Linked DNA regions of Nothobranchius furzeri. The protein of the gene in region 2 purifies or fractionates together with the protein of the main gene of each other region. This does not show direct contact. Links are inferred from orthologs where the notes say so. Each region holds a gene or a part of one and is shown on either strand. Other genes may lie near its edges.

Region 1 (7,611 bases), on a different chromosome or scaffold from region 2:
AAACTTTCATGCACAGTAAAACTTAACAAACTTCAAAACCGCTTCACAAAGATCAATAAACAAAACAAAAGATCACTCAAAGGCAAATTAAATATCTAAATATTTATTTTATGCTGTGGCCACAGCTCAAAACCTTAGATATTACAATGAAAGAAGCAAAACGGCTTACTCTTAAGATGATCCGATGGCGTTTTTGGTACGATGTAGAGCCCGGTGCTACTTTAAAGCAAATCGCGCGGTTTGATTGCTTGTTCTGAACTATGTTAGAGAAGCGGAAGAGAAAGAGAGAGAGTTAAAACTTTGAACGAACGAACAGCGAGGCGTCCCTCAGTGTTCAATCGGCATTCTCCATTGCTTCCAGTAGCTCGGTGTTCCATCCACTTCAGCAGCTAGGTCTCGTGCACATGCTGTCCAGAGCCGCAGCAAACGAGTGCGTCTTCATGCCAGTTGAACTGGAACAAAAGACAGATAAGTTTCGTTCTGTCTCCCTTTTATAGACTCGGCTGTCCGGCGGGAGGAAGCTGTGGGTTCCGGGGTTCGGCTCCGCTTTGGTGACGTCATCACGCTGCTTCCGGGTGCAAAGGCTCATGGGACATGAAGTTGTTGCTGGCGCTGATTTTTAATATCTGCTTTTTCAGAGCGCAGATGACACAGTCTTTTGGAGAAATTACTGCATAGTAATTTCCTCATGAGGGCAGACCCTCAACATTAGGAAATAAGACTCCAAATCCTGCTGTCTGCTACCACTTTCTGCAGCAGCAGATTTGTCTGTGCTGATCCAAGCCATTCTGGGATTTTTTTGCCCCATTTGCAAGGCATTCATACCAGAGACCACTGCAAATGTATTGATTAAACAAGTTTCCCACGCCTTTAAAATGGCTACGTTTTGAATGAATGTAAAGGAATTCTTGTGGTTCTTTTGCAAGAATAACGATTTAAAGTGAAATTATTTCCCTTTGGTTTAGAATCAAATCAATTTCATTACATTTTCTTTATGTTTCATTTAACTTTTTCAAATTTGTAACCAGTGTTTCAATGTCCTTTATCCACGTACTGCAAGCCATGCATAGAATCAAATTGTCTTTTATATGTTCAGGACATACAGGTGAATCAATACAGTGTTTTTCTCTCATCTTTGTGGTACAGGAAAAACAACATTTAAAAGTAAAAGTATATAAAGATAAGATTATATAGAAATATGAGAAAAGTAAATGTATTGATTTTCATTGACAGTATAAAAGTTTTATTGGAAAGAAAATAGCATGCTGGAAAATAGTGCTGAAGAACAGAGCTGTTGCAGTATGTCAATATTTGTATTTAAGTTGCACCCAGTGACCTTGGGTGTTCTGAAAGGCGCTTTTAAATAAAATGTATTATTATTATTATTATTAAACACGTCTGTTTATAATTTCCCTGAGCTGGAGAAAAAAAGGTAAAAAAAAAAAAGAAATAGATAGTTAATAAGACAATCTGATTATTTTACAATTTACTTAATAGTGAATAAATGAAACTTTAATCCTTTAAGGTCCCAATGAGTATAAAATGAAAAGCTGGAGGAAATTATCACACCATATTTAGTTACATTGGATCTTTAATCCCAACACGGATTAGAATACAAATATCATACACTATTTCTCTTTTCAACAGATCATTTTTCCTGTCCTTGGTCCCTGGCAAACATTACAAACAAATGCATAGTGCTAGCATCATTTGAATATTTAAAACAGTCCCTACAGTCTTTTTAGGTCATTCATTATTATAAAGTGAAAACTAAAAGTTTGCATTCTCCACATAACTTTTAGATTTCACCATCACTTTTGAAGACAGACATTTTGATTAATTTTATTCTATATTTACATATCTTTGGCTGAAATATGTATTCTAAATGTGGCAAGCATGTTGTTCTGATTTAGGAAAAAACATCCTTTGTCCTGGTTTTGCTAACGCTTTACTTTATGTAGGTGAAAAATTAAAGAGCTCACAGCACCCTTGAGATTCCAGTGAGCCAAAACTGTGGAAGAAAAGAAGATGAAACATGGAGGGAGGTAACCTACTCTACTTTCTTTGTGCCCCTCTGCAGAGGACGTTCAGCTCTCTGCAAAATCCTGTGTAATAAACTAAATGTGTGTAAATGTTGACCCATACAAGCACAGACAAGCTTACTTCATTTAGTTTTCCCTACAGCATCTTCTGTGTGTTGCCATGGAAACACATGGCAGCAGAAGAGAAGGATGAATGTGCAAAAATGGAACAGACACATATAAGCCAGCAATCTCCACACATCACCCACCAGTCGGACTAAAGCCTGAAGACCATTTATAAACAAACACACAAAGTGAAAAAACAAAAAACTGTAAAACACACATATTTTAAAGAGTGTGTGCATAGTAAATAGTCCCTATATTAAACATCCCCCCTTATAACAAAGTCAAATCAGCCACTAGCTGTGCACTCTTACTTTTTGTTTTAATAACTATGGGAGGCTTCAACAGAAAATGATTCCCTGGAAAAAGTGTTGTGGACTGAAATTTTTATTTTAAGATGATGTTACCTATTTAATGATTAGACATTTATAAAGTTAATTCTAGACCATCATGACAATAATCTATTTATGATCTCATTATTTACAGCTGTGAATCCGTGCTGTGTCATATGAAGTGCTTATTGTGTGATTGGTCTGAAAAAAGTGCTTTCTCAAGGAACAATAATTGTGAATTTGTCCACTGCTGCCACCCAGTGGAATATGTGTGAAAGTGAATTAAACTATCAATAATGTAATTTTTTGCAACATCATGATTTTCTCAATTTACCTTTTAACTGTAGAAATACACAATTTAATAGTTCTGTGCCGATATCGTTTTTGCAAACATGCTTTTATTACTCAAAACGTTTGTGCATTTCGTCTTATTTTATTTCAATTTTCGTTTTTATTTTGACCACACTGTCGTTTCACTGTTTTATCCAGTTTAATAATATGATTACATGTTAAAATTAAATCCTTCTTGGATTCTGGATGACGATAAAATCAAGTAAAATCTAACACTAGTCTACATTTACCATCAGCCTTTGCGTTAAGGAAACGCAAGACGTCATTGAGCCAATCACGATGTTAGAACTTTATTTCAACCCCGTTGATTGGCTAGTTTTGCATTTTTCTTCCCACAATGCTTTGCGTAGAATTCAAATCAAGTGGACCAATGAGAAAGCGCCGTGGCGACAGAGCGAGCATTTAACTTAATACTAGAAACTGTTTTCGAAGGGCAGAACAGAACACAGGAGACGCCGCCGTCGGACACGTCTGCTGAATTATTCCATGAGGAAAGCAGATTTATTTTAATATTTATGTCTATATATGTCGTTTTATAATTGTAGAACCTAATGTTAATTATCGCTTGCTTTCAGGAAGTCTAAACTCGTGATTAGATTTAAATTCAGACGTGTATGGGAGAAAGTTAGCTAGCTAGGCTAAAGTAACGTCGGTTGTGTTAGGGTTAGTAGTTTGATTCTTGTAGTTTTCACCACGTTTACTGCGCGGAGAGAAAATAAACATTCCTGTAAGTTCATAGAAGACAGCTCTAATACAAAATGAGTGCTGGTACCGCAAAGCCGTTGGAACGTGCGGATCCCAAATCGGCACCTCTCAAAGAAATCCCAGAAATTCTCGTTGATTCCCGAACCATGAAAAGATACACGAGGGGGAGATTCCTCGGGAAGGGTGGTTTCGCCAAATGCTACGAGATCACAGATGTAGAGACGAAGACGGTGTTTGCTGGCAAGATCGTAGCTAAGTATTTGTTACAAAAGCAGCACCAAAGGGATAAGATGACCTCGGAAATCGCCATACACAAGAGTCTGGATCACGCTAACATCGTCGGCTTCCACGGGTTTTTCGAAGACGATGACCATGTGTTTGTGGTCCTGGAGATCTGCAGGAGAAGGGTGAGTACGATGGAAGGAAACCAGCTTTTCAGTGAGGTTTAGAGCCGACGGTTAAACACTGCGACATCTTCCGTTGTCCTCATGTTTAAATAGTGGGAAGCAAGCAGTACCAGACTCATTTAACACCTCACAACTATTTGATCTTTGATAAAAACATCTTAAAAAGAAACTTCTAGCCTATAAATGTGGGTTTATTGGTCCAGTACCACTCTGGTGGCCCCATGTGTACCATATGTTCAATCTTATAATTAAACGCATAAAAGATCACTCTTTTCTTGAGCTGTTGTCTTGACTGTTTAAAATGCTTTATTTCAGTCCTTGCTGGAGCTGCACAAACGCCGCAAGGCTGTGACGGAGCCTGAAGCTCGCTACTACATGGCCCAGCTGCTGAAGGGTGTCCAGTACCTGCACAACAACAAGGTCATCCACAGAGACCTGAAACTGGGCAATATCTTCCTCAACGACGACATGGATGTCAAAATTGGTACTCCACTTGCTTGGACTTGTAGCTTGCACTAGATCTTTTGTTTTTATCACGTCGAGAAGGATTTGAATCAAAGCATGCCTCGTTATTACGTGTTCTCTCTTGTTTAGGGGACTTTGGCTTGGCGACTAAGATCGAGTTTGAAGGCGAACGAAAGAAGACTTTGTGTGGAACGCCCAACTACATAGCACCAGAAGTGCTTTGTAAAAAGGGCCACAGCTATGAGGTCGATGTCTGGTCACTTGGGTGCATATTGTAAGTACAGGCCCACAAACGCAACTCATTTGAAATGTCCCAGCTGTGAAAGCTTCCCTTTTCTGTTCTTTCAGGTACACTCTGTTGGTGGGCAAGCCCCCGTTTGAGACCTCCTGTTTGAAGGACACCTACAGTCGCATCAAGAAGAACAACTACACCATCCCCTGGGTATGAAAATCAAACTGAATGCACCGTTTTCTTTCTAAAATTAAGTTAATAATTGAGTCGTATGATCTGAACAACCTGCAGCACATCACCCCGACTGCGGCGACTCTGATCAAGAAGATGCTGCACGCCGATCCTGCACAGAGGCCAAGCGTTGCTGAAGTGCAGGCCGATGAGTTCTTTACGTCCGGCTACATCCCCCTCCGTCTGCCCACCACGTGTCTTACTGTACCCCCTCGGTTCTCCATCGCCCCCTCCACAACTGCAGAGCTCAGCCAGCGGCGTCCTCTGACTGCTCTAAACAAGGGTAATGGCGATCAAAATGAAAATCTTTGTTTTTATTTTTCCTAGGCAATGATGTTTGAGTTGATCCACATAGATTTTATTAGTCTTGTTTTAGATGTTAACGTTTTTTTTTTCTTTGTTCCCAGTTGGTACGGAGAAAACGGAGGTGAAAGACGAGCCTATGCAAAGGTGTTTTTCATTTATTTATCACATGACAAACATTTTATAAAAATTCTAGTTCTGTTAGTTTTTATCTTTTCTTTGCGTAGATGTTGTTAACCTTTAAATGTGTGTGTGTGCAGGGCGGCTGAACCATCAGAGCCCTACCTGAAAGACATGCTGCAGCAGCTGAACAGCATCATGTCCACCAAACCCTCTGAAAGGGCCGTCATCCAGCAAGGTTAGTGGACGTGTCTCACTTCGTCTTTACCGATCTTGTGGAGTCTCTGTTGCTATTTCTCTGAATTTTGTCAAAACGGATGCGGTTATCTACTTTTTAATCTACATCTAAGGTTTTTTTGTGTAATTCCAGAGGAGGCCGAGGATCCTGCGTGCATCCCCATCTTCTGGATCAGCAAATGGGTCGACTACTCTGATAAATATGGATTAGGTAAATGTTAGGAGACCGTTTGTTTGTTCACATAAGCTGCAATTTTAACTTTGTAAGTTTGGTTTAGACTATTAAAAGTATATACAGGGTATCTGCAGGTCCATAAAAAGTCTTAAATTAGCTTTTCCAAATTTAAGGCCTTAAAAATCCTTAAAAATGACAAATAGTCCTTAAATAGTTTCCAACGGTCTTAAATTACCAAAGACCCAATAAACAAGATTCTTTTATTTCTATAAAATTTTCATGAATTTCTAGTTAGTTTGGCATTTTTTGTGTATGATATTGGCGTAAGCGGAACCGTACACATTCGGTTGGTTGTGAAAGGGGGCTATTTTTAGATGAGCATGCTAGTGGGAGTTTGCACCATGGGGAAGTGCAACATTAATGGTAAATGGATGGCTAATCCCACGTTCACGACCTGGTTAGCACCGGTTCCAGGCAATAGCTGGAAATTATAGCTTAAATTTAATTTAAAAAAAAAAGAAGCTTAAATTTGGTCAAAGTGGCCTTAAAAAAGGTCTTAAAAAGTCTTAAATCTGGCTCCCTTAAACCTGCAGATACCCTGTATAGATGTTATCTGGTACTGTTAAAAGTATCTTTACAGAGTTTTTAATGTCTGTTCCAGGCTACCAGCTCTGCGACAACAGCGTGGGGGTTCTGTTCAACGATTACACCCGGCTCATCATGTACGCTGACGGAGACAGCCTCCAGTACATCGATAAGACTGCAGCTGAGTCCTACCTCAGCGTTCGCTCTTTCCCCGCTACTCTCAACAAAAAGGTCAGACAGTGTTTTTATTTATTTTTTAATTCCATTTTATCCCCTTCAAGGCCATCACAGTGACTTGTATTTCTCTCTGGCTGTAGATTACGCTGCTGAAATACTTCCGTAACTATATGAGCGAGCACCTCCTGAAAGCTGGGGCCAACATGGCGCGGCGGGAGGGAGATGAGCTGGCACGGCTGCCTTACCTCTCCTTGTGGTTTAGGACGAAAAGCGCCATCGTACTGCACCTCAGCAACGGCACAGTTCAGATCAACTTCTTCCAGGTTAGATGGTTAACCCTTTCACTCAACGCGTGATGCTTCACGTGCGCGATCCCTCATCTTCTATCATTATGTGCTTTTCAGGATCACACCAAGCTGATCTTGTGTCCGCTCATGTCGGCGGTGACCTACATCGACGAGAAGCGAGACTTCCGCACTTACAAGCTGTCTCTTCTGGAGGAGTTCGGCTGCAGTAAGGAGCTGGCTAGCCGCATACGTTACGCCAAGCAGATGGTGGAGAAGCTGCAGGACAGCAAGGCTTCTTCTCCTGCACAATAGTCTAGTTTGTTCCTCAAACCTTCAATCACTTTCCCTTCTAGTCGCAGAACTTTTAATATTACGTGTATTTTTTAAAGCGAAGCAGAGGTTTTCATGTCACACTTACACAATGTGCTCCATCAACCTAAACTTTAATATGCCAACATGTTTTCCTCTTATGTTCACCTTTCATGGACTGCTTAATTATCAACACCAAGACTAATAACGTAGCTTGAAAAGAGCTGTTGAAATGCATCATTTAAGAAGTTGAGGCGTTTGGTTGTAAACCTTTCCTTTTTCCTGTTGTTGTTCTTGTGTTTTAAATCATTCAGGAAGATGTTCGTCTTGTGAGAGATGGACTCTCAACATGCTGTTCATAAAGCACTGGTCTGCTTTTCCAGTCTGTGTGTGCGGAAACTGACCGTGTTAATGTTTTCATCATGTACATTCTTCCTGTTTGTTTGTGTTTGTAACTGTTGGCTAAGCGGGTTGATGGTGAACAAACTTGTACATACTGCTGAGTATTTTAAAGAGGGTAAACCTCTGCTCAAGATGAAATAAAGATTGTT
Region 2 (6,959 bases):
ATTTTTGCCATAAATTACTGCCAACACCGAACCTGCGTCAGGGCCTGACAGAACAAGATGAACGGCAGGCGCTTTAACTGCTAAACTACCAAAGCCTATGCACTGATGTTGCTTAAACCCGTAACCCCACTCTGTTCTCTCTGGTCTGACCAGAACCTCTAACTGTACCTAAGGGGTCCTACAAGAAAGTGAGCATTCTCTCATGCCATGTCCAAATAATGGAATTGGGTCAGCTGTTTTTAACATGCTTTATAAAGGTTAGATGGATGAAAAAGTCTAAAAACATGTGGCAATCAATAAAAAGGTAAAACTCATTGAAATGAGCAGTCCCAAAATACCGTATTGACCCGAGTATAGGACGACCCCCCTTTCCAAAACTAATCTTCAGAAAAAGACAACAAAAAACTTTTTAAAGAAATTATTTTTATTGAAAATTCGAGAAGAAATACTGAGCAAAAATACAATTTTAATACAAACTATCAGAACTTTGCTGACATCAAAAGTCAAATGAAGCTTTTATTCAGACTCCCTCTGCCTCGCTGTTCTCACTCATGCTGCTGTGGGATGTACCATCAGATGGCCACACCTGCCGACTCCTCCCAGAACGTCGTCTTCACTGCCATCCAATCCATCCATGCATGCAATGTTTGACGCCTCTGCTGAGTTGACCACCGTCATCTTAAAATTTGCATACCTCTGCCTTATAGCTTGTTAACTTGCTCCACTCTGTTTCGGACCTCTCGTCTTCATTTTTTCTCCTGTTGATAACATGCAGCCTGGCGCCCCTCTGCTGTTACGGGCGTGTAATGGTTAGACCCCAATTATAAGATGACCCCACATTTAAAATTGTCAATGAAACAAACCTTGTCTTATCCGGGTCAATAAGGTAAAATACATGTAAAATACATAAAAGCAACTTAAACCATGTACACTGGGGCAACAGTGGCACATGAGTTAAGTGTTCGCTTTGTAATCGGAAGGTTGCAGGTTTGAGCCCCGCTCAGTCTCTCGCTGTCGTTGTGTCCTTGGGCAAGACACTTAACCCACGTTGCCTGCTGCTGGTGGTGGTCGGAGTGACCGGTGGCGCCAGTGCTCGGCAGCCTCGCCTCTGTCAGTGCGCCCCAGGGCAGCTGTGGCTACACTGTAGCTCATCCCCACCAGCGTGTGAATGTGTGTGTGAATGGGTGAATGACTGATTGTGTTGTAAAGTGCCTTGGGGGGGTTCCAGGACTCTAGAAGGTGCTATATCAAATACAGACCATTTATCATTACTAGTGGGCTAAGATTTAACACAATCAAGATGACATAAAAGAAGTGAACGGCAGATTTAAAACGTGTTAAAGGGGGAGCCAGATGGACGTGCAGAGGGAGAGCAAGTTCCTTAAAATGGGGCACAGTACCCATTTTAACTTTATTCTTACATAATGCACCTTTTAAATTTAGTGTTTTGGTCTCAACAGGGAATGGAGCTGATTTGACTTGATTTCTTACTGCTTTCTCTTAGTGCTCCGATAAGTTATTGTGTGATTCACTAACGTGCATCAATGATTCTGTACGTTTGAATAGAAAACCAAAGTGGAATTAAAGGTTAACAAAGCTATTAAAGCATTTTTGTGTTTATTGTTTTGTTTCTTCTCTTCCTGTATTGAAGGTGCCAGCAGTGTTCCTGCCTTCTTTTCAGAGGACGACTCCCAGTCCAACGACTCCAGTGACTCGGACAGCAGTAGCAGTCAGAGTGATGATGTTGACCAAGAAACGTTTCTCTTAGATGAACCTCTGGAACGTACCACTAGCGCCTCACATGCTAACACTGCAGCCCAAGCTCCTCGCTCCATGCAGTGGGCTGTTAGAAACACACCCAGCCAAAGGACAAGTGGAAGCGCTCCCTCTAGCTCTTCAGCTCCAGCTGGTCAGTCAGCACCTGTCTGCATTTAAAAGTCTACAGTCTGTAGGGCGTTGAATTACAAATGTTGTCTATAATCATTTTATTTTGCCTCTTAAACAGCAAGCTCCACCGGTTTGATCTACATCGACCCTACAAACCTGCGCCGCTCCAACGCCATCAGCTCCAGTGCAGCAGCAGCTGCGGCAGCTCTGGAAGCCAGTAACTCCAGCAGTTACCTGACGTCTGCCAGTAGCCTGGCTCGTGCCTACAGCATCGTCATCAGGCAGATATCAGACCTCATGAGTCTGATTCCCAAGTATAACCATCTAGTCTACTCACAGTATCCTGCTGCTGTAAAGCTCTCCTACCAAGATGCTGTTAGCCTGCAGGTGATTATCGTTGGATAGGTCTGTCAGAATATCACAATCATTAAAAAAAAACCTCTTTAATAATGTTAACCTCAGACTTTATGAGTTAATGCAGTGGTCAAAAAAATGTTTGTCCCCCACCCCATGAGTGCAGACACGTGCATGTGCACACACTTATTATTTTTTTATGTTTCTGTTCTTAACAAATAAAAGTAAACCGCAATAACTTGCAGGTTACAATGAAATAAATAAATTCTGGAGTTATCTGGGACCCGAGCGACAGATAAACCGCACAAATCCCATATTCCATTTTACAACTACGAGAACCTCCAGAGCTCCTCTGCTCCCCGATTGTACACTCGTCCAGGTAACCAGACTGAATGATGGCTGAGAAGAGGCTGCACTCTCGGGCATTTCCTAATAAAACTAACCATGCAGAATGCCTCCTTAAATGGAAATGCAACCCGTTACTCAGCTTTTTATTTATTCCTGACGGGAACCTCTCCTCTGTCTCAACTGCGTTTAACCTCTGCAACTTGTTTGTTTCTTTTGCACTTTGGCAGCCGTTGTCTCAGTCTCACTGTAAATAAAGTTTTTTTTTTTTTCGGGAAATACACAAGCTGTGGACCAAACATGGTTACTTAAAGGTGTTGCTGTATGTAAATGACGAGAACAGACATGAGCAACTGGGCAGCACAGGTAGGATTTATCATCAGATGAGTGCGGAGGAACGTGCGTACGAGAGCCCACCGTATGTTAAATAAATCAGGATTTTGACCGTTCGTCTGAACGTTCTAAATTTCATTTGTAGGGAGGAAGTTAGGACAGTTCCTATGAACGATAAAAAAGGGTCCATACTATGACCAGTGTGTAATGATTATCATGTCTACCAGAACTACGTGGAAGAAAAGCTGATTCCCACCTGGAATTGGATGGTGTCCATCATGGATTCTACTGAGGCTCAGCTGCGATATGGCTCGGCTTTGTCGTCAGCTGGAGACCCGGGTCACCCCAGTCACCCACTTCACGCCTCTCAGCACTCAGCTCGCAGAGATCGCATGACCGCTCGGGAGGAGGCCAGCCTCCGCACTCTGGAAGGACGCAGGTATAGTTTTTCTTCGTCTTCATTGGAACATAATGACTGACTCAGTTTATTTGTTTACAACTTGATCAAATGAAAACACAGACCAGAAGTCAACCCATGCAGTCGTTTGGTTCACAATCATCTGCTTTCCTTCAGGAGAGCAGCAACGTTGCTGACCGCCCGTCAAGGCATGATGTCAGCACGGGGCGACTTCCTGAACTATGCGCTGTCACTGATGCGCTCCCACAACGATGAGCACTCGGATGTTCTTCCTGTCCTGGATGTGTGCTCGCTAAAACACGTAGCCTACGTGTTCCAGGCTCTGATCTACTGGATTAAGGCTATGAACCAGCAAACCACCCTGGACACCCCTCAGATGGAGAGAAAGAGGTGTGTGTTTAAAAGTTGCATCACCAGACAAGTATTGGTTGCTAACTAAACGGCTCATTGCTTAAGTAGAATTATTTATTTATTTTTTCACTAGGAATAGAGAAATATTGGAACTGGGCCTGGACAACGAGGATTCTGAGCACGAAAACGATGAAGACACTAACCAAAGTACAGCAGCTTGGTTGACTACATCGGTACACAGACGCTGGTATTTTAAACTTTGTTTGAAAAGTTTTTCTTTCAACACAGGTTCAACGCTGCAAGACAAAGACGATGACCCAGTTCCAGCTGAAACGGGTCAGAACCATCCCTTCTTCCGCCGCTCGGACTCCATGACCTTCCTGGGCTGCATCCCACCCAACCCCTTTGATGTTCCTCTTGCGGAGGCCATTCCACTGGCAGACCAGCCCCATCTCCTGCAGGTCTGACATGTGGCTGTTCTGTGACATGCTTCACCAGCTACACGGGACATGTTTGTTTGTTTGGGTTTTTGCATTTATGTATTAAAAAGTCCATGTTGCCTCCTGTCTAACAGCCTAACGCCAGAAAGGAGGACCTGTTTGGGCGTCCCTCTCAGGGCTTATACTCCTCCTCCTACATGACGACCAAAGGCCTGGCTGAGACCAGCATGGACAGGAACTGCCTGGAGGTAAACATGGGCTCCTCTCTACTCTCCTCCTCTCAGGTACACCACCCACCGTCAGAGAAACAGCTGAGCTCTATGCGAAGCAATTTAAAACCAAATGCTTAAAACAACACAAGATTATCTCCTAGATGTTTGTTTTAAATGTGTTTACTGGAACCTGATAGTCATAATCCCATCATCATTATTTCAGTGTGACTGTTTTCTTCTTGCTAATAAATAACACTATCCCTGGTGGACAGATCCTGCCCACAAAGATGTCCTACACAGCCAACCTGAAAAATGTCATGAGCATGGAAACTGGCCAGCGGAGCAGTGACAACCAGTTATTGGGTGAACAGGAGATGGAGGCTTCTAAACCAGGACCTTCTCCTCATGACCTCGCTGCCCAGCTGAAGAGCAGTCTCCTCGCTGAGATTGGTCTCACTGAGAGTGACGGTCCTCCTCTTCCGTCATTCAGGTGAGGTCGCTGGTGGTTCTCTCTAAAACTGGAAGAAGACCTCTCAGCAGAACCTCATTTTTTTCCCAAATGTTATCAATCAAAATGACTTTTAAACATGAGAATGCCGTTTGTCCTCTGCTTGTCCAGGCCTCACTGCAGCTTCATGGGGATGATGATCTCGCATGACATGCTGCTTGGCCGCTGGCGTCTGTCACTTGAGCTGTTCGGTCGCGTATTCATGGAGGATGTGGGAGCAGAGCCCGGATCGGTAACTATCTAGGCTAACAAAGAAGATGAATGTGTTTAGCATTTTAACACAGAACCTCACTTTGGGTTTCCAACTAGAACTGGCTGGAAATGTTTTCAGGGCCCTCGCTTATCAACCTTCCTTTAGCACAGATTGGTACGTAGGAATGATTTTACACTTTGGTGTTTACCGTCTTGGACAGCGCTGAATTTTTGTACGAACAGCATCTAGTGGTGGAGCGGGGGAGCCACAATACTGAAGATCATCCACGGTGTTCCTCATCTACAGATCATTTTAATTAATAAGTAGTTGTCCTGGAGAAGCAACGTTGTCTAAGGGTGTGCCGTCGTAGGTACCTCACAGCTCCTTTTGATCATCATGATGACCACGATAAACAATGTTTTCTCTCATAGCTTTTTCATACCTTCAAATTAGTTCTGCACACATTAATTCACGTAGCCAAATAGCTTTTATCTTATTGGTGTGAGACCGAACACATACCAGCATGCTTTTGCATGAAATCTACAGGAAAACATGAATGATAAAAATGAAAGTGAATAGAATCAGCTGAGGCAACAAAGCTACGTGAGCTTCTGGCCTTTAGATCTGAAAGAAAACAACCTTTTATAAAGCGCCTCTCAAGATAATAATCATGAGGCGCTGAACGGAGAAACGGCGCCACATCGCGGCCTGGCAGGATGTGGAAGTGGCGCTCAGGTCGCCAAACAAAAGACAAGAAGTTAAAAGATCACACAGACATTTACTAGAGAAACCATGCTTTAAAAGAAGCCTTCTCACCTGGATTTCTGCATGTTTACCCCTTTTCCAACATTTTCCCGGGATCGGATGAACATCGCTGGGAACGTTGGTGTTGGCATTAGCATTTGGGTCTGGGCCAGTGCACATAAACAAACAGGAAGGTAAATCCCAGGTGTGTCCTGGGCGATCGCGGACGAGGTCACTTACATCCATCAGGATTTTCACTGTTCGTACGAACGTTCTAGATTTCATTTGTAGGGTGAAATACGGGTCAAGAACCTTGATAAGTGAGGGCTTCACACCAAACCATACAGCAACTATATGCTCAGTGGAGGGGAAGTTTCCAGCTGAAATAAATTAAAAAAGGTTTGAACCATGTCTGACAATAGTTCTCTCACACACACACACACACCAAATCGGACTGTAATGGAAGCGTCAGAGCTCCCTTTGCTGTTTTAGTAAGGATGTCACGTCTCCATAAATGAAACAATTCCATGGGAACCTATGAATGAGTTGGAAGCAAGAGCTTTGACTTCAGATTGTGTTTTTTTCTCCCTAAAACGCCAGATTCTCACTGAGTTGGGCGGATTTGAAGTGAAGGAATCCAAGTTCAGACGGGAGATGGAGAAATTAAGGAACCTTCAGTCTCGTGACTTGGCTCTAGAGGTGGACCGTGATCGAGACCAGTTAATACAGCAGACCATGCGTCAGCTAAACGCACACTTTGGCCGACGGTGCACAACCACGCCCATGGCTGTCCACCGGGTGAAGGTCACGTTCAAAGACGAGCCTGGAGAAGGCAGCGGCGTGGCCCGCAGCTTCTACACAGCCATCGCGCTGGCCCTCCTCTCCAACGATAAGCTGCCCAACCTTGACTGTGTCCAGAGTGTCAGCAAGGGCATGCAGGCCAGCAGTACGTGTCATCACGATTACAATTCAAGTATGACAATACATAGAAACTACTGCATGTTGTTATTCTATGCTAATTTGCACACCTCTGTCAATGAAAATCACGTGACTTTTTGCTAGTGTAAAATCACTGTTGCCAAAAATAAAAAGCATATAACATGTTTGGTGTCACCTTTTAGATCTAATGCAACGTCTGAGGAACCGAGATCGGGAGAGGGAGAGGAGAAGTGGA
Region 3 (6,959 bases), on a different chromosome or scaffold from region 2:
GAAAGGGAGAAGAAAACGTTGCAATATAGACCAAAAGCCTTCACAAAATAGATTTTGAAGACATTTGCCATCCTACGACATCTGCAGGAAGCAGCAATATCATTTCTAAATCTTCTGAAATGAAGAACAAAGCGTGAAGATCAAAAAAAAAATTGTGTCAAAATATTTTCACAGGGAAATAGAAGTCAGAATAAGAAAACAACATGTTCCAAAGAAATGGAATGAAAGATATTCATCCTAATAATAATAATACACTGCACAGCAATCATTCAATGACAAGACATACATATTTCCATAGAAAATATGAAAAAATACTCAGAATATTACTGATGATCATGCGACAATGTTGAAAACACTATGGATTAAACATGCAACATAAAGACCCCACAGCTTCTGACAGTCCTACTATGTTTGATCACTTTCTGAAATTATTTATGGAAGCAGTGACCTATTTAAACCAGAGCTGATATTAACACCTGGAACAAGGCACCAATACAACCAAACAAGCTAAAAACAAGGCTCTATGTTTCCTCGTAGAACGTAGCTGATTAAGTGGTGCAGGTGAGGTAACGGTTTCACCAAAAATGCTGAGTTTAGCCGCTCAGAGAGGAGAAAAGCCAAGTTAAAACACTGTGTGACAACGTTAGGAGAGAAAATGGGATGCTCCACATGACTGGTTTGAACAGTAACACAACTCATCCCAACTAACTCGCTGTTGCTACACAATGACATCATCAGATCCATTCAGAACAGGTTGCTGCTATTGTACACACTTACACGCAGCTAATAAATAAGTTAGACAGTCGAGCCCGCTTACGGACTTGGTTTCATGTAGAAACAAAAACCAACCCAGAAAACATTTTTCATATGAGACATCACAATCACCTAAATGAAAGCTGTGCAAAAACCAACAAAGACATCAAAGATTTTACTTGTGCAACATTTTAGTTTTTCTAAATTTTTACAACCGTATCTCAACTCTTGAAAGGCTTTGAAAACCAAAAACGACTTTCACTGGTCATATAAGCTTTGATGGTTGCAGTTCAGCGTCTTTAAACGGACACAGCGACGCTGAAGAGGCAGCCGATCAGATGCTTGTGTTGTGCCATTGACCTAAAAAGGCCTCCGTGCCCATTTTACATGTAAACAAACTTTACAATACTGCATATTGTACAGCTGAGATGTAATAAATTCAGAAAGGTTTTCTGCCTAGACACACTTGGACGGACCAAGCAGCACAAACTACCCACAGTGGTCCTATGCTCAAATATACACATGGCATTTCTGACAAGATACATATAACGTGACTTTGTGTGCAAATAAATATGTAAACTGTCACAGGAGCTAATGAACCATGCCCATGGAGCTCATAAAGTGCAGCAAAGCTGTCAGGATCAACACCTGGAAAAGCTGTGGACACGGACGTCCCACTGGAATGGTCAACCCTACTTCAGGAAGAGTTTCAGCTGTCGGGTTTGTCGGGGTGATGAAAGAGAGCACAAAGCTCCTCACAGGTCTGAGTCTCCACAGAGCTAAAGTGTGACTCCATATTCCACGCCAGGTCTGCTGACAGGAAGTCGTTCATAACGGTCTGGGTTTCATTGCTGGTCAGAAAGAGTTGCCCCAGGCCTTCTGCTTGGCTGGTCACAGTCTGGGTTTCTGTGCTGTTCAACAACCTCACTGCCTCACCTTGACCTCCATTAGAAAGTGAGGATGGAGCTGTAGTAAAGGAAGGGAGATCCGTCTGTGTTTCGGTATCTGACGACTCGGTGCTGATTGAAAAGGTTGAATGTCGAAGGATACTGCTTAGGGGCATGTTGCTGCCAGCATTCAGCAGGAAATTGAGATCGGTCTGAGTCTGGGTGTCAAACAGCTCAAGGTCACTGGCTTGGGGTCGACTTTGTCCCTCATTTTGGTCCAGCTCATCCATAAGGAGGAAATCTGTCTGCGTCTGAATGTCCAGCGACTCCAGCGGAGTGTCACCACCTAGCACACCAAGTTCACTCTCCTCCGTTTGTGTCTGAATGTGAACGGTGTTGAGGAACTCCTCAAAGTCAAAGTCAATTCCATTGTGCTGCTCCTGAACAGAGCCAGGACCGGACCCACAACCAGCAGAAACCTCCGCGAGAACCTGGTGACCCGACATGCCGCCAGCCAGAATGTTCTCAAGGTCATTTAACAGCGTTATCGTTTGGGTCTGGTTATCGGCCATGTTGTTAGCACCCAGCTCATGTGTCTGCACCCCAAAACACATACCCGCCACCGACTTTGAGTCTTCATACAGATTTCTTCCTGCAGCACTAGGGCTGTTAATAATGTCCTGGGCTGTTTGTGTTGAAGTGCTTAGAGACTCATTAACAAATAGATCTGAACACATAACAGCCTGGTCAGGAGCCTTATCCTCCAACTGTGGCAGAGCAACGATTGTCTGCGTCTGTCTGGTTTGAAACGGGAGCACAGATGAGGAGAGGGACGTGATTTGGCTCAGGCCCTGGCTCTCTGTCTGAGCTCCAACAGATGATGTGGATTTGGCTCGGGAAAAGAATGTCTGGGTCTCCACACTGACTGGCAGGAGGACTTGGGCACTCACACTGATGTCTGTTTGGGAGCAGGATGAAACTGAGGCCTCGCCCATGGAACACAACCCTGCTCCCTCCCCAACTCCCATCCCGATGGGCAGCTTTGACAAATAGGATTTATCAGTCTGGATGTTGGTAGAGGTGCTCCTTCCTCGCTGCCCCGTCACACTGCTGGCTGAGTCATCTAAACCAACAGGGTCCAGATTGACCTGCACCCCTGTGCTGATGCCATCCAGGGTAGAACGGGAAGTTGACTTGCTGTTCTCGAAAACCAAGCCTTTCCCATCCAGCTGGGGAACCAGTGCTCCCATTGTCTGTGGAAGGAGCTGGAATGTACTGAAAGAGCCATGGTTGTCTACTGCAAGAACCACCGACCTCAGAGTCCCACTTTCTGTAGATGGAAGAAGAACAGGCAGATGGGCCAGCTGCATGACAGGAACACTGACCAAGGCAATTTTGGGTTTTGGTAGGAGCAACTTCTGAAGGCTCCTATGGGGGCTGGAAATCTGGTTAGCTGGATCTAGGATGTTTGCAGCCAAATCAAGAGGTGGAGAAGTTTCTGTCAACTCCTTAGTAGAAGGCATGATCTGCACAGCTGAGTCATTAACTCGGACTTTTTCAGAACCACCTGTATGCTTTTCCATCTTTCGCTTTTTGACTGGAGGAAGTCTGAAAGAAAAAGACCAACAAGTTAATTCTACAGATCATAATAAAGAAAATGCAAGATTTCAATGAAGCATTTGGTCTACGTGCCTGTATTCTTTTGGGATTTCGTGACCTGTTCTGTAGTTATGTGACAGCAGTGCAGCTCTGCTTGCATAGGGGCAGCCACAAGTACACTGGTAAGTCTTCCCACAGTCCTCTATGTGCCTCTTCAGGTCCCACTCTGTGCTGTAGCCATTGCTGCATTTAGAGCACTTGTGCTTTTTCTCTGCATGCATCTTCATGTAGTGCTACAACGATGCAAAGTAAAAGGCCATGGAAATAAAACCCAACAGGTACAGAGAAGAGCAAAAACGATAACGGTGATATGATGGAAAACCTTGGGTCAGAATGTTAATGCAGGGCCCTCCCACCTACGCACTGTCGCTGAGAAAATGCTCCCTCTTGGTAACAGCGCTGCCTGATGGCATCAACCCTTCCTGGTTACTCTAAAAGGTGTAAAACCCACCTAGTTCTGAAAGAACCAACCTGCAACCCAGAGGACCTGCTGCAAGCATCGTCTCCTCAATCAGAAATGCTTTAGCAGCATGAGGACAAGCTACCGCTATCCATGTGTTTAATTAGCTCTAATCTGCAATTTAGAAGTCAAACCTTTAACATAAAATACATAACTGAAAAGTAAAGTAACTAGACACTTTTTTGCAATCCAAACACATCAAAGGAAGCTAATGTGTGTGAGGAGTTAAAAGTCTTGTAAGAAGTAAAAACAGATGCGTGAATCATTGCTTACTTGTTTAACCAGAGAGAACTGGGAGAAAGGTCTGTTGAGCCCCCTTGGACAGCCCTCAATAGGACAGCAGTAAAGTTTCTGAGTGCCCTTCATTTCCTTTCTGACTGTGGGATTGACCATCCCATCCTGATGGTATCCATGGCAGCATGAATAAAAAAAGACAAGAAGACATGTTAAATGTTAAGATACTGAAGCCAGTATCTCACAGGGCTGTCAATGATCGGGATTAGCTGAGACATAAAACTGCGAGAAGAAACTCAAATTATCCCTTAAACTCAAACCAAATTCATGCTTATGGAGTTTTTGCAGCAAGTTTTACACATGCCAGAGTCGTGTGGCAGACCCTAACCCTCATTAAATAATGAGTACAAAAAAAGACAAAAGTAAATCTAAATTAGTCACAATATTTCTTTATTGAATCTCACAATTTGTTTGAATAAAGAGCCTAATTTTTCTTGCATTTTGGTTACCAACCCTTCCTCCAGCTGTCTCACATTCATTAACATTAGCTGCCCTGTGAACTAGTATGAATATAGTCTCTTACAACACAAACATATTTATTACAGTAACAGCTGGAAGGTCCTTATAATGTGTCATTCATTAAATACACATCCCATTGTATTTTTATTAGGGGTGAGAATTCAACGCTTTAATTTTGATTATTTAATTAGAAAAACATAACGCATTAAGAAATATTAATGCATTTAATTACAGCTTGAATTTCAAGCAAGGTGGAACCTTTGTCGGTGCATGATTTTCTGGTATACCGATTACACTGACGCACAAAACAAAGCCCTGCTCGACCAATGGCTCCTAAAATAGAAGAATCTGAAAAAAGCATTCTGCTTGGGCTGATGCAGTGTTTGAGGAAGCAAATCAGCCTCTTCTCTTAATTAGTAAAAATAAAAATAAAATACTTCATGAAAACCACAGTCTGTGACACGGACACTTTAATAAAATAAAATAAAATAAAATAAAATAGGACTGGGACAATAACAAATTTTGCTAAATGGTTTACTGTCCAACAAGTTGACGATTAACGATATTGTGGACATTATACCATAATTAGACCAAAATAACCACTTATGTAATGTTAATATATCATAATAATGCAACAAACCTTTATTTAATATTGCAATGTTCAGAACCAGAACTACTAAATAAAATAATAATAATAATTAAAAAAAGACGGTCACTATTTGTTAGAAACTATTGCACCAAAAACAATAAAATAGACCCCATGTCTCCAAAATTAATTAATTAATTAACGCCCATCCAGAAATTAAAACCTGGCGCAGCACCTGTGTTAGTAAAGTAATGTCTTTGGATGGCTACTTTTTACTTTCATGTAATTATAAATATGTTGAAGTAGTACTACGTTTACTCAAGTGATATATTTTTGGCAGTAATGAAACGTCTGAGCTCCGTTTGTTTCCTTTGAGGTCGTAGAGATGTACGTTATTGATTGTAGACAATTTCTGAAAATACAGATCTCTAGCCTCCTGCACAATTTTATTCCTGTAAGGGATGCTTCCTTGTTCTTTTAATCCATCCTTTTGACTCTTGTTCTGCTTCAACTTCAGCTGCGACTTTCCCCAACAACGCGAGTCATACACCTAAAGTTGCGCTAAGGGGGTGTGGTTGACATGCAGGCCACGTGTCTGACAAAGACCGATATGTCAATGTTGGAAATATTATTGAGCTCATTTTCATCTATCGTACGATTAATTGATTGTCGTCAGCCCTAAACACAAGTCAACAGGACTTATTTTAGGAAACCACAGCTCCCCTGAATGCATTGCACGACAACAGAGTGAACATACATGATCATGTAAACACCCGTAGGAGTGTAACAGACGCTGTCTGTTTTGTGGCCACTAGGTGCCCTCAGCGTTCCTACCTGCTCTCCTGGCTCTAGCTTTGCCAGGTGACTTTGATTTCAATCAGTGAGGCTCCCCGTTAAAAGGGTGCGTCTGATGATAGGGGGGGGGCTTCAGAAGAGAACAAGCAGCAGTGTTTGCTCTCCTCTTTCCCTCCTCGAACTGACGTTAAAGTCTTGCTTTGCTTACCTGAGTGGTATCGGTAAATACTTCCTAGTTTCTAGAGCTCGTTTGTGTTTCTTCAGCATCCTCGTTAAAGAGAGATCTGGCTCACCGTTTTGGTGGAGCTTTTTGTGTTAATCCTGCTCATTCCTTACCCGGTTTTTAATCCCCGGCGCTTTGTGTTTAATATTATTGTAGTTAATTCCCCAGTTTTGGGTGTCTCCTGTTTTGTATCATTTTACCTGCATAAAGCAGTGACTTTTAGTTAAATAATCTCCTTTAAGAGAGTAAATCCTGGTTTGTTCCTGTTTACAACCGCATTTCTTTACGCTCCCTAACCACATCATCTCTTAGACGAGCTGAGGGACGTAAAAAAAGGAGTGTGTGAAAAGGTTAGTAACCATCTATAAAACATATGTTGATGTAGATCGCCTCATCTATGCCATCATGCATTTGCAGGCTGAGTACTTCATGACAGGTCATTATTTGTCATCAACAAGTAGCTGAGAGGGGAAGCTTAGATTCATTGTCCTTGTTAGAGAAGAGCCCCTCCACAGCTGCTGACAGCACTGCTTCTCTCTGAGAAATGGTCTGATGCAGCGATAAGTGAATGAGTGATGGGTCTCTATACCCCGCAGCTTCTTGCTGGTGAAGTGTGTAGACACAAAGACTAAGCTAAGAGAGACAGCGAAAACAGACCAGCGGTTTGCATAAACTGAAATTAAATATGTCGATTCAAGAGAAATGGCTACATGATGAAAAAAATAATCCAAAATAACACTTTAACCTGCTGGTGTGCAGAGAAGCAGTAAAACTCTGATAGCATTAAAACATCAAATAACAGATGGAGTGTTCAGACTTACAGCAATTCCACGAATAATTCAA
Region 4 (7,418 bases), on a different chromosome or scaffold from region 2:
CGGAGCTCCAGACGGAGAGCGGGGCTGCGCGGGACTGCGAGCTGGACCGAAGCGCGCAGGTGGCGGCGTGAGGAGCGCGCGGACGCCCGGGCTGCGGAGGGTGGTGACGGGCGGGAGGCGCTGGATGGATTCCGGCGGCACACAGGAGCTCTGCCCCGGACTGACTCGGGCTGCATCGGCGGCTGGAGAAAGAGGAAGTTATGGAGGAGGCTGAGCGGAGAAAAACGCATTTTTTTAATTTCTGCCAATCAAGACGAGATGAGACAACTCCCAGCCTTGCAGTAAGTTGGAGCGCGATGGAGGTGTGTGTGTGTGTGTGTGTGTGTGTGTGTGTGTGTGTGTGTGTGTGTGTGTGTGTGTGTGTGTGTGTGTGTGTGTGTGTGTGTGTGTGTGTGTGTGTGTGTGTGTGTGTGAAACATGCAGTGTTGTGGAATGACGCCATGCTGTACGAACTTGACAGAGCTGTGTTTCATTTACAAACATCTGACTTTTATCTGCTCAAACTGCGACAGAAATTTTATTTTGTTTGTTCAATATATAAAAAATATATATATAGGCTACAAATTCAAATATATGCATAACATTAATTATATTATCATTAGGATTAGAAATCTGATTCTACTTTCGCACCGTTATTTTATTCTAATTACATTTATTTTAATAAGTTAGGCATTTTTCGCTTTTTATTATTTTCCTCTGTAATTTAAAGGAATTTGCATTATGTGCTTAATTGCGCCTCGCTGATAAATTTCTTATAATTAAAATTAATCAATGTCAATTTCGCGCATTTATTAGGAAAAGGGAAATCTTGAATGCGTTTTTTTTTTCTTTAATCTCTGTTAAGTTCTTTCCCACATCATCAGACGCGGTTGGTGTGTTTTCATATTTTCCTCCGTGTGTTGAGTCCGTGGCACGGCCCCTGGCGGCTGAAACTCCCCTTTATGACCTTTATTTGTCAGAAATGTGTTTATGTAGGAGGCCTTAAAATTCCCTCGTTTTCTTCCCTTTAACAGGATTAGTTCCGTTTAAGTTCAGACTGAATAAAGTTTCATCTGCAACAGGTGAAAAATAAACTTGTTTGGAGACAGGAGACAGGTTTTATTTATTTATTTTTTAGTTCCCGCGCATTGCGGGTGTTTTTGCTCGCATGTTTTGCGGAGATCCCATCATCTAAATTTGTGCAACCACAACACGGTATTTTGGTTTCCCAGCATGCAGCTCGTTGCATTTGCAGGATCCATCCCAACCTGCTGTGGTGGGGGGTCTTACAAGTGGTCGGAGGGAACCGCCCCTCTAGTTTCCCCGGCTTCTTTATTTTTTTGTCCAACAGCGGGTTTAATGCGGGATGATAGTGGATGCGGGGCCACTCCCGGCTGGCTGGGGCCCGCTTTCACAGAGCTGCGGGGCCCCCGCTGTTCCTTTATTATCATAAGCAGATTAGAGGTAGCGGGGAACACACTCAGATGCAGATAGCAGCCGAGCGGCCCATTTCAACCTTGCATCATAATGGACCGAGCTGCATGTGTCGCTTCTTGCAGCCTATTAAGCACCAGATGAACCTCATAAGGCTGCAGAGGCCCGGCCGGGCTCCGCGCCTCCATTTATTATCAAAATGACTAAAACTAAATAATACAACTTCATCTATTTCAAAGATGCTTTAATCTGCGCATTTAAATGAAATAATTGCAGGTGTGTTGGTCTGTCTTTACTGGTCTGCTGCACTCGCAGATCCGGACGTATGTTTGGTGTTTGGAATAAAAATGATGTGAAATAAATATTTTTGTATTTTGGTTTAGTTTTTTTTATCTACTTTAACTTCTAACAGCGGTGATTTTGTTGTCTGAGAAAACTTTTTTCAGAGTTTGCGTGTAGTTCTGCGTTAGTCCAGTAGGCGGCACTGGTGTCACGCAGCACTGCGCCAAAGCCGCGAGGTGGACAGTCAGAATAGAAACAAGTGGCACCAAGCGCTGCAGACTCCAGAAGTTTGCTCGTGTTGGACTGTTGAGCTTTCTGAGAGTGTGTTGCCTTTGTGGAGAATCTCATGTCGCATTAATCTGAGTTTGATCAGAACTGAAGCAGGTAGAGGCCGCTGCTTTTCTGACTCCCTCACGCGCTTGGTTGTGTTTTCACATGAATCTAGAAACACTCATGTCCTTTTATTAGCCCTCCCTTTTAGACAACGGGTCTAAGCCGCCTGCAAGCCCCCAGCAGCAGCAGCAGCATCAGTGGAGTGGAGTTGGGGCTTTGTCCGGACAGATGTAGCGACAACATCCCAAACAAAACGCGCTTATTTGTGCTGATGAGATGAGCCCGTCTGCCTTGTGTGTGTTGGCATTCAACTTCCCAAAACAAAAGCTTTAGGTGGGGAGGCAGACATCTTGGATTACCTTTCCTCCTTTCAACACCCAAAACCAGCCCCCCCCCCCCCCCCCCACACACACACACACAGGGCTTTTGAGTTAACTAACAACGTTTACTTAAGTCTTGTTGTGCTGTTGGGCCCGATTGTGTGTGTGTGTGTGTGTGTGTGTGTGGAGGGGGGGGGGTGTTAGTAACTTTTTTGATTATTCTCTAACACTGACACAAGGTCATGCCTTCAGTCAGAAAAAAAAACAGTTTCCGGTTTGAATAACGTCACCAGTTGATTATTGTATTTCTTATTAAAAGATATTTCCGCCTATTTGCCTTCATTTCACCACCTAAACATTAGATTATTATGTCTGGATTAAAACTTTCTAACTCAGCCACAGCTGAATATAAGATAATTGTCATTTTTTTTGGGTCGTTTTATTAATTTTGAGGAATTCTTTCATCATTTGCACGTGCTACCTGTTCAAGAAAAAAAACTTTTTATTTATTTATAAACGTCCTATCAAGTTCGGCGTCACAGTTTTACTCTTCATAAATAAAAACACTCGCAAATGAGCTTCTATACGGACAGCAATGAGAAACAATAATGCTCATAGTACATGTGTACTCTGTGTTTGGCTCATAGGGCAGCCTGAGAGTGAGAGTATGCCCGTAAGCTCCGGAGCAGACAGGCCCCGCCTCTTTATGCTAATTAGGGCCTCCCATTGGTGTGTCAGTGGGGAAGGCCTGCTCTGATTGGCCAGGTCGAAGCCATTTATTCGATGACAGCCATGACATGGTTGTCTATTAACTTGTTCAAAAACTATCAGGAGTTGTCAAGGCTCAGGCGGGCAGAGGCGCAAAAGTACAGTTTGTTGATGCTTTTTGGAGGAAGCGAGAGAAGTTTTGTGGACACGACATAGCAGGGACCTATTGGGAGAAGGCTCTCTGTCCACACACACTCTCTCACACACACACACACACGCACACTCGGGGGACGGAAGAGAGAAGGGAGAGTGTGTGGAGACGCGGCTTGATGCTTGTTTTTGTCCAGAGAAAAGTTGCAGAGCAACCCGACAGGTAACTTTCAGCCGCTGCGCTCCTCGCTGCCTCCGGCTCCTGGAGTTTCTGTTTCTTTTTCTTTCTTCCTCTTTTTTTTTCGTCCTCCATTCGTCGGCTTGGAAGCACCGACTCAAAGCTGTTCCTGATGTATAACATGATGGAGACTGAACTGAAGCCCCCAGCTCCCCAGACCAACACGGGGGGCACGGGAAACACCAACACCACGGGGAACGGCACCAACCAGAAAAACAGTCCGGAGCGGGTCAAGAGACCCATGAACGCGTTCATGGTGTGGTCCCGGGGCCAGAGGAGGAAGATGGCGCAAGAAAACCCCAAAATGCACAACTCCGAAATCAGCAAGCGGCTGGGAGCAGAGTGGAAGCTCCTGTCGGAGAGCGAGAAAAGACCTTTCATCGATGAAGCCAAGAGGCTGAGGGCCCTGCACATGAAGGAGCATCCGGATTACAAATACCGGCCCCGGCGGAAAACCAAGACCCTCATGAAGAAGGACAAGTACACCTTGCCCGGCGGGCTGCTGGCTCCTGGAGGAAACGGGATGGGCACTGGAGTCGGTGTCGGGGTGGGGGCCGGACTGGGCGGTGGAGTGAACCAGCGCATGGACAGTTACGCAGCGCACATGAACGGCTGGACCAACGGTGGCTACGGCATGATGCAGGACCAGCTGAGCTACCAGCACCCGGGTCTGAACGCGCACAACCCGAGCCAGATGCAGTCCATGCACCGCTACGACATGAGCGCCCTGCAGTACAACTCCATGACCAGCTCCCAGACCTACATGAACGGCTCCCCCACCTACTCCATGTCCTACTCCCAGCAAACCACGCCGGGGATGACCACCCTGGGCTCCATGGGGCCCTCCTCGGTGGTCAAGTCCGAGTCCAGCAGCTCCAGTCCGCCCGTTGTCACCTCCTCGTCCCACCGGGCCGCTCCTGGCTGCCAAAGCGGGGACCTGAGGGACATGATCAGCATGTACCTGCCCGGGGCCGAGGTCAGTGACCAGAGCGCCCAGACCAGGCTACACATGTCCGGCCACTACCAGAGCGCCGTGCCCGGGACGACGATCAACGGCACGCTGCCGTTAACACACATGTGAGAGAGAGACAGACAGACAGAGAGAGAGAGAGTGAGACAGAGCAAAAGAACTTTTATAAGAGAAACTGCGGACTATAGACGCTGGACTATTTTTGTACAGAAAAATTTGGGGTGGGAAAAGTTGTATAGAAGTTTCCAGGAAAAAAGGACTCCACTGTTTCTTTTAAAATTAATTTTATTTTTTATTTTATTCTGAAGATGCTCTAGAGGAACGATAGGAGACCCCCCCCCCCCCTCTAAAATGGTGGATGGAGTTTGGAAATCTAGAAAGTGGGAGTCGCAATCAGATGTTTTATTATTGCAATCACCTTTTGTACAGTATTTATCAAAGAAACATTACAATCAGAGGGAATTGCTAAACTGCAAGAGGTTGCATCTTTCTTTTCGTTTTTTATATAAAGCGGCGCCAGTTCTGCAGAAAAGATGAATGAATAAAAACTGCAGAATTGGAATTTTTATCAGTTAGAATTACTGCAAACACTGGAATGAAAAGGGACATAAGAAGCAGGTAAAACTGTTATTCTTTTCAGTTTTTTCTCCATTTAAGGTCAACGTTACTAAACTTTTCTTTTATTTCTTTGAGAAACAAACGTGAGACAATTTTTTCTGTCATGCAACTTAAATTTTTAGCTAGTTAATTTATATTTCCGTCTCCCACTTTTCATCATTTAGCGGACATGACGCTTGTGCTCTTTATTTTTTTTATTGATTTGTACAATTTCTGTATATTTACTGTGACATTTGAAGTTTTTATTTCAAAGCTCATTCCCGTAGTTGTATTTTGAAACTCGTGGCCTGTACGCAGAAGCCACGCACTCCATGTAAATACCCCCAGACTAATACCATCCTTATAACAGTTACAGTTTCAGCTGAGTATATTTTTTTTCAATATGCGGTTTGAAATGAATAAATTTTGGAAATTTGGATACTTGAAATAGTTTGAGTTTTGATTCAGTTTCTGTCACGTTGAATAATTCGTGTGTTGAGTGTTTTTTTTTCATCCCGTCTTTTTATTTGGCATCTTTCGGGTGATTTCTGCCTTTTGAGAACAACAGCAGCTTTCTGGGGGGACGCTCCTCCTTTATTCCCAGCCTGTGCGTCGAGGTTAACCACGTTTCTTTCTTCCAGTTCCCGCTGGTCCTCAAAGACAAAGTTTGTTGCCTGGAGAGGTTTTTCCAGCAAAAATTCCCAACATTCCCAGGTACAGACTGTCATTTCTCTTCTTTGATATAAAAAGAGGAAAACGTTGAGGCAAACATTTCATCTTAATACGTTTAAAAATGCTAATAATTGGTATGTGGGGGGCCTTTTTTGGACTGGGGCACTATTTTTATTTAGTGACACAACTGAGCAGGATTTTCATTTTTAAATAATTTTCCCAGTATTTCCGTGTTGTTTCACTGCTTGTTTGTGTTTTGCTCCTATAAATCCCAGTTTTCCAAGCGGCTTCCAGACAGGAAGTCGCGTTTTAATGTCTCTAAGGAGATTTAGTTTTAATTTAATGTTCACTCAAACGGTTCACACCGCCTCTCCGCTAACTGTCACCGTCTGCACACGACACCAACCTCTAATAAAAACAGGAACCCTCCAGAAAACAAAAATCTTCCCATGCGTCTTTCCGCCAGCAGGCCGATTCCCCTCCACTCTTAATAATAATCCCTTTGATGAGCTAACAGCTCGCCCTGAATTTAACTAACGGTTCTAAATCGTTAAGAGTGTCTGTGTGTGTGTGTGTGTGTGTGTGTGTGTGTGTGTGTGCGCGCGCGCGCGTGTGTGTTGTGGGGTAGATTAGGACCGTTGTGTCTTGCAGGCTCGGTCCCGAGGGAGCGGCAGATGAATATTTGAAGAGGCCACTCTGTATTTATCCATCCACTTCTCCTTCTCTCTCTCTCTCTCTCTCTCTCTCTCTCTCTCTCTCTCTCTCTCTCTCTCTTTCTTTCTCTCTCTCTCTCTCTCTCTCTCTCTCTCTCTCTCTCTCTCTCTCTCTCTCTCTCTCTCTCTCTCTCTCTCTCTCTGGAGGTCAGGCGGATCGTCGGTTTCCTCATTAATTATTGATCCGAACAGCGGATTCGCTTGTAATAGCCGAGCAGGCCGGTGATAAACAATTTGTTTCTAAAAAGGTCGGACTGGACGCGTTAAACCCCCTCCCTTCTTATTCAATAAGCGCCGGGCCCCTGCAGGCCCGGAGGCCCCGATAAATTCATATTTATCCCGGCTGAGCGGAGCAGCTTTGATGTAAGGAAAACACTTTTTATATATTATTATTTGACAGGAGAGAATGTTTGATCAACTTCTGTTGTCTGGAGCTTGTGAGACCTGTTGGTCACGCCTAGGAGAGAGCTTCAACCACAAGGTTCAGTCTTAAATAGCATTCATTTCAATTAGAAACGATTCAATTGCATGGTATATATATATATATATATATATATATATATATATATATATATATATATATATATATATATATGGCCTTTTTGACTTGATTTAATCTTAAAAACTAGGGGAATATACAAGTGGTTGAGATCACATTTTGAATGAAAAACATCCAGATAATTTAGTGAGTCACGTGTTTGAAATTTCACCAGTCAATAAATAATTTAATTAGAATAAAATCGCGTTAGAACTGAAATATTTAAGTGCTGTTAACATCCTATAAATGAGTGTATAGCTTCACTTCTAGCGCTGATCAGGTGTTTCTCTCCATCCTTTCATCTTCCGCTTCCCGCGGCGTCTGGCGGCCGCAGCTCGAGGATATCTGGCCTGCAACAGGTGGTGAGCGCGCGCCAGTTTTGTTCTTCTTTAGTTCCATCGTTAAAAAAAACTTCCAGATGTTATCTATGGCAACCGTGTGTGTATGTGTGTGTGTGTGGGAGGGGGCGCGCTCCGTGTTTCAT

What was found.
Region 1: the proteins of ubr5 (region 2) and plk1 purify together in Homo sapiens (affinity purification with mass spectrometry; 4 studies listed by BioGRID and IntAct, with this or other methods). This does not show direct contact. The link is inferred for Nothobranchius furzeri from reciprocal best matches to the Homo sapiens genes UBR5 and PLK1.
Region 3: the proteins of ubr5 (region 2) and atmin purify together in Homo sapiens (affinity purification with western blotting; 3 studies listed by BioGRID). This does not show direct contact. The link is inferred for Nothobranchius furzeri from reciprocal best matches to the Homo sapiens genes UBR5 and ATMIN.
Region 4: the proteins of ubr5 (region 2) and sox2 purify together in Homo sapiens (affinity purification with western blotting; 3 studies listed by BioGRID and IntAct, with this or other methods). This does not show direct contact. The link is inferred for Nothobranchius furzeri from reciprocal best matches to the Homo sapiens genes UBR5 and SOX2.

Annotation. Positions count from the first base shown.
Region 1 is NC_091744.1:8,884,518-8,892,128, forward strand, and holds the start of plk1 (serine/threonine-protein kinase PLK1), read left to right. Parts: upstream 1-3,405; 5' UTR 3,406-3,585; coding exon 3,586-3,939; intron 3,940-4,254; coding exon 4,255-4,423; intron 4,424-4,533; coding exon 4,534-4,678; intron 4,679-4,752; coding exon 4,753-4,846; intron 4,847-4,927; coding exon 4,928-5,150; intron 5,151-5,274; coding exon 5,275-5,317; intron 5,318-5,430; coding exon 5,431-5,528; intron 5,529-5,660; coding exon 5,661-5,738; intron 5,739-6,363; coding exon 6,364-6,518; intron 6,519-6,604; coding exon 6,605-6,787; intron 6,788-6,868; coding exon 6,869-7,063; 3' UTR 7,064-7,611. UniProt on the Homo sapiens protein: Serine/threonine-protein kinase that performs several important functions throughout M phase of the cell cycle, including the regulation of centrosome maturation and spindle assembly, the removal of cohesins from chromosome arms, the inactivation of anaphase-promoting complex/cyclosome (APC/C) inhibitors, and the regulation of mitotic exit and cytokinesis.
Region 2 is NC_091745.1:50,573,285-50,580,243, reverse strand, and holds part of ubr5 (E3 ubiquitin-protein ligase UBR5), read left to right. Parts: intron 1-1,651; coding exon 1,652-1,909; intron 1,910-2,005; coding exon 2,006-2,274; intron 2,275-3,146; coding exon 3,147-3,358; intron 3,359-3,493; coding exon 3,494-3,727; intron 3,728-3,821; coding exon 3,822-3,895; intron 3,896-3,976; coding exon 3,977-4,149; intron 4,150-4,262; coding exon 4,263-4,412; intron 4,413-4,612; coding exon 4,613-4,830; intron 4,831-4,959; coding exon 4,960-5,080; intron 5,081-6,385; coding exon 6,386-6,758; intron 6,759-6,906; coding exon 6,907-6,959. UniProt on the Homo sapiens protein: E3 ubiquitin-protein ligase involved in different protein quality control pathways in the cytoplasm and nucleus. Mainly acts as a ubiquitin chain elongator that extends pre-ubiquitinated substrates.
Region 3 is NC_091749.1:56,994,519-57,001,477, reverse strand, and holds the end of atmin (ATM interactor), read right to left. Parts: intron 4,159-6,959; coding exon 4,033-4,158; intron 3,533-4,032; coding exon 3,333-3,532; intron 3,249-3,332; coding exon 1,463-3,248; 3' UTR 919-1,462; downstream 1-918. UniProt on the Homo sapiens protein: Transcription factor. Plays a crucial role in cell survival and RAD51 foci formation in response to methylating DNA damage. Involved in regulating the activity of ATM in the absence of DNA damage. May play a role in stabilizing ATM.
Region 4 is NC_091748.1:72,769,363-72,776,780, reverse strand, and holds sox2 (transcription factor Sox-2), read left to right. Parts: upstream 1-3,068; 5' UTR 3,069-3,556; coding exon 3,557-4,525; 3' UTR 4,526-5,448; downstream 5,449-7,418. UniProt on the Homo sapiens protein: Transcription factor that forms a trimeric complex with OCT4 on DNA and controls the expression of a number of genes involved in embryonic development such as YES1, FGF4, UTF1 and ZFP206. Binds to the proximal enhancer region of NANOG.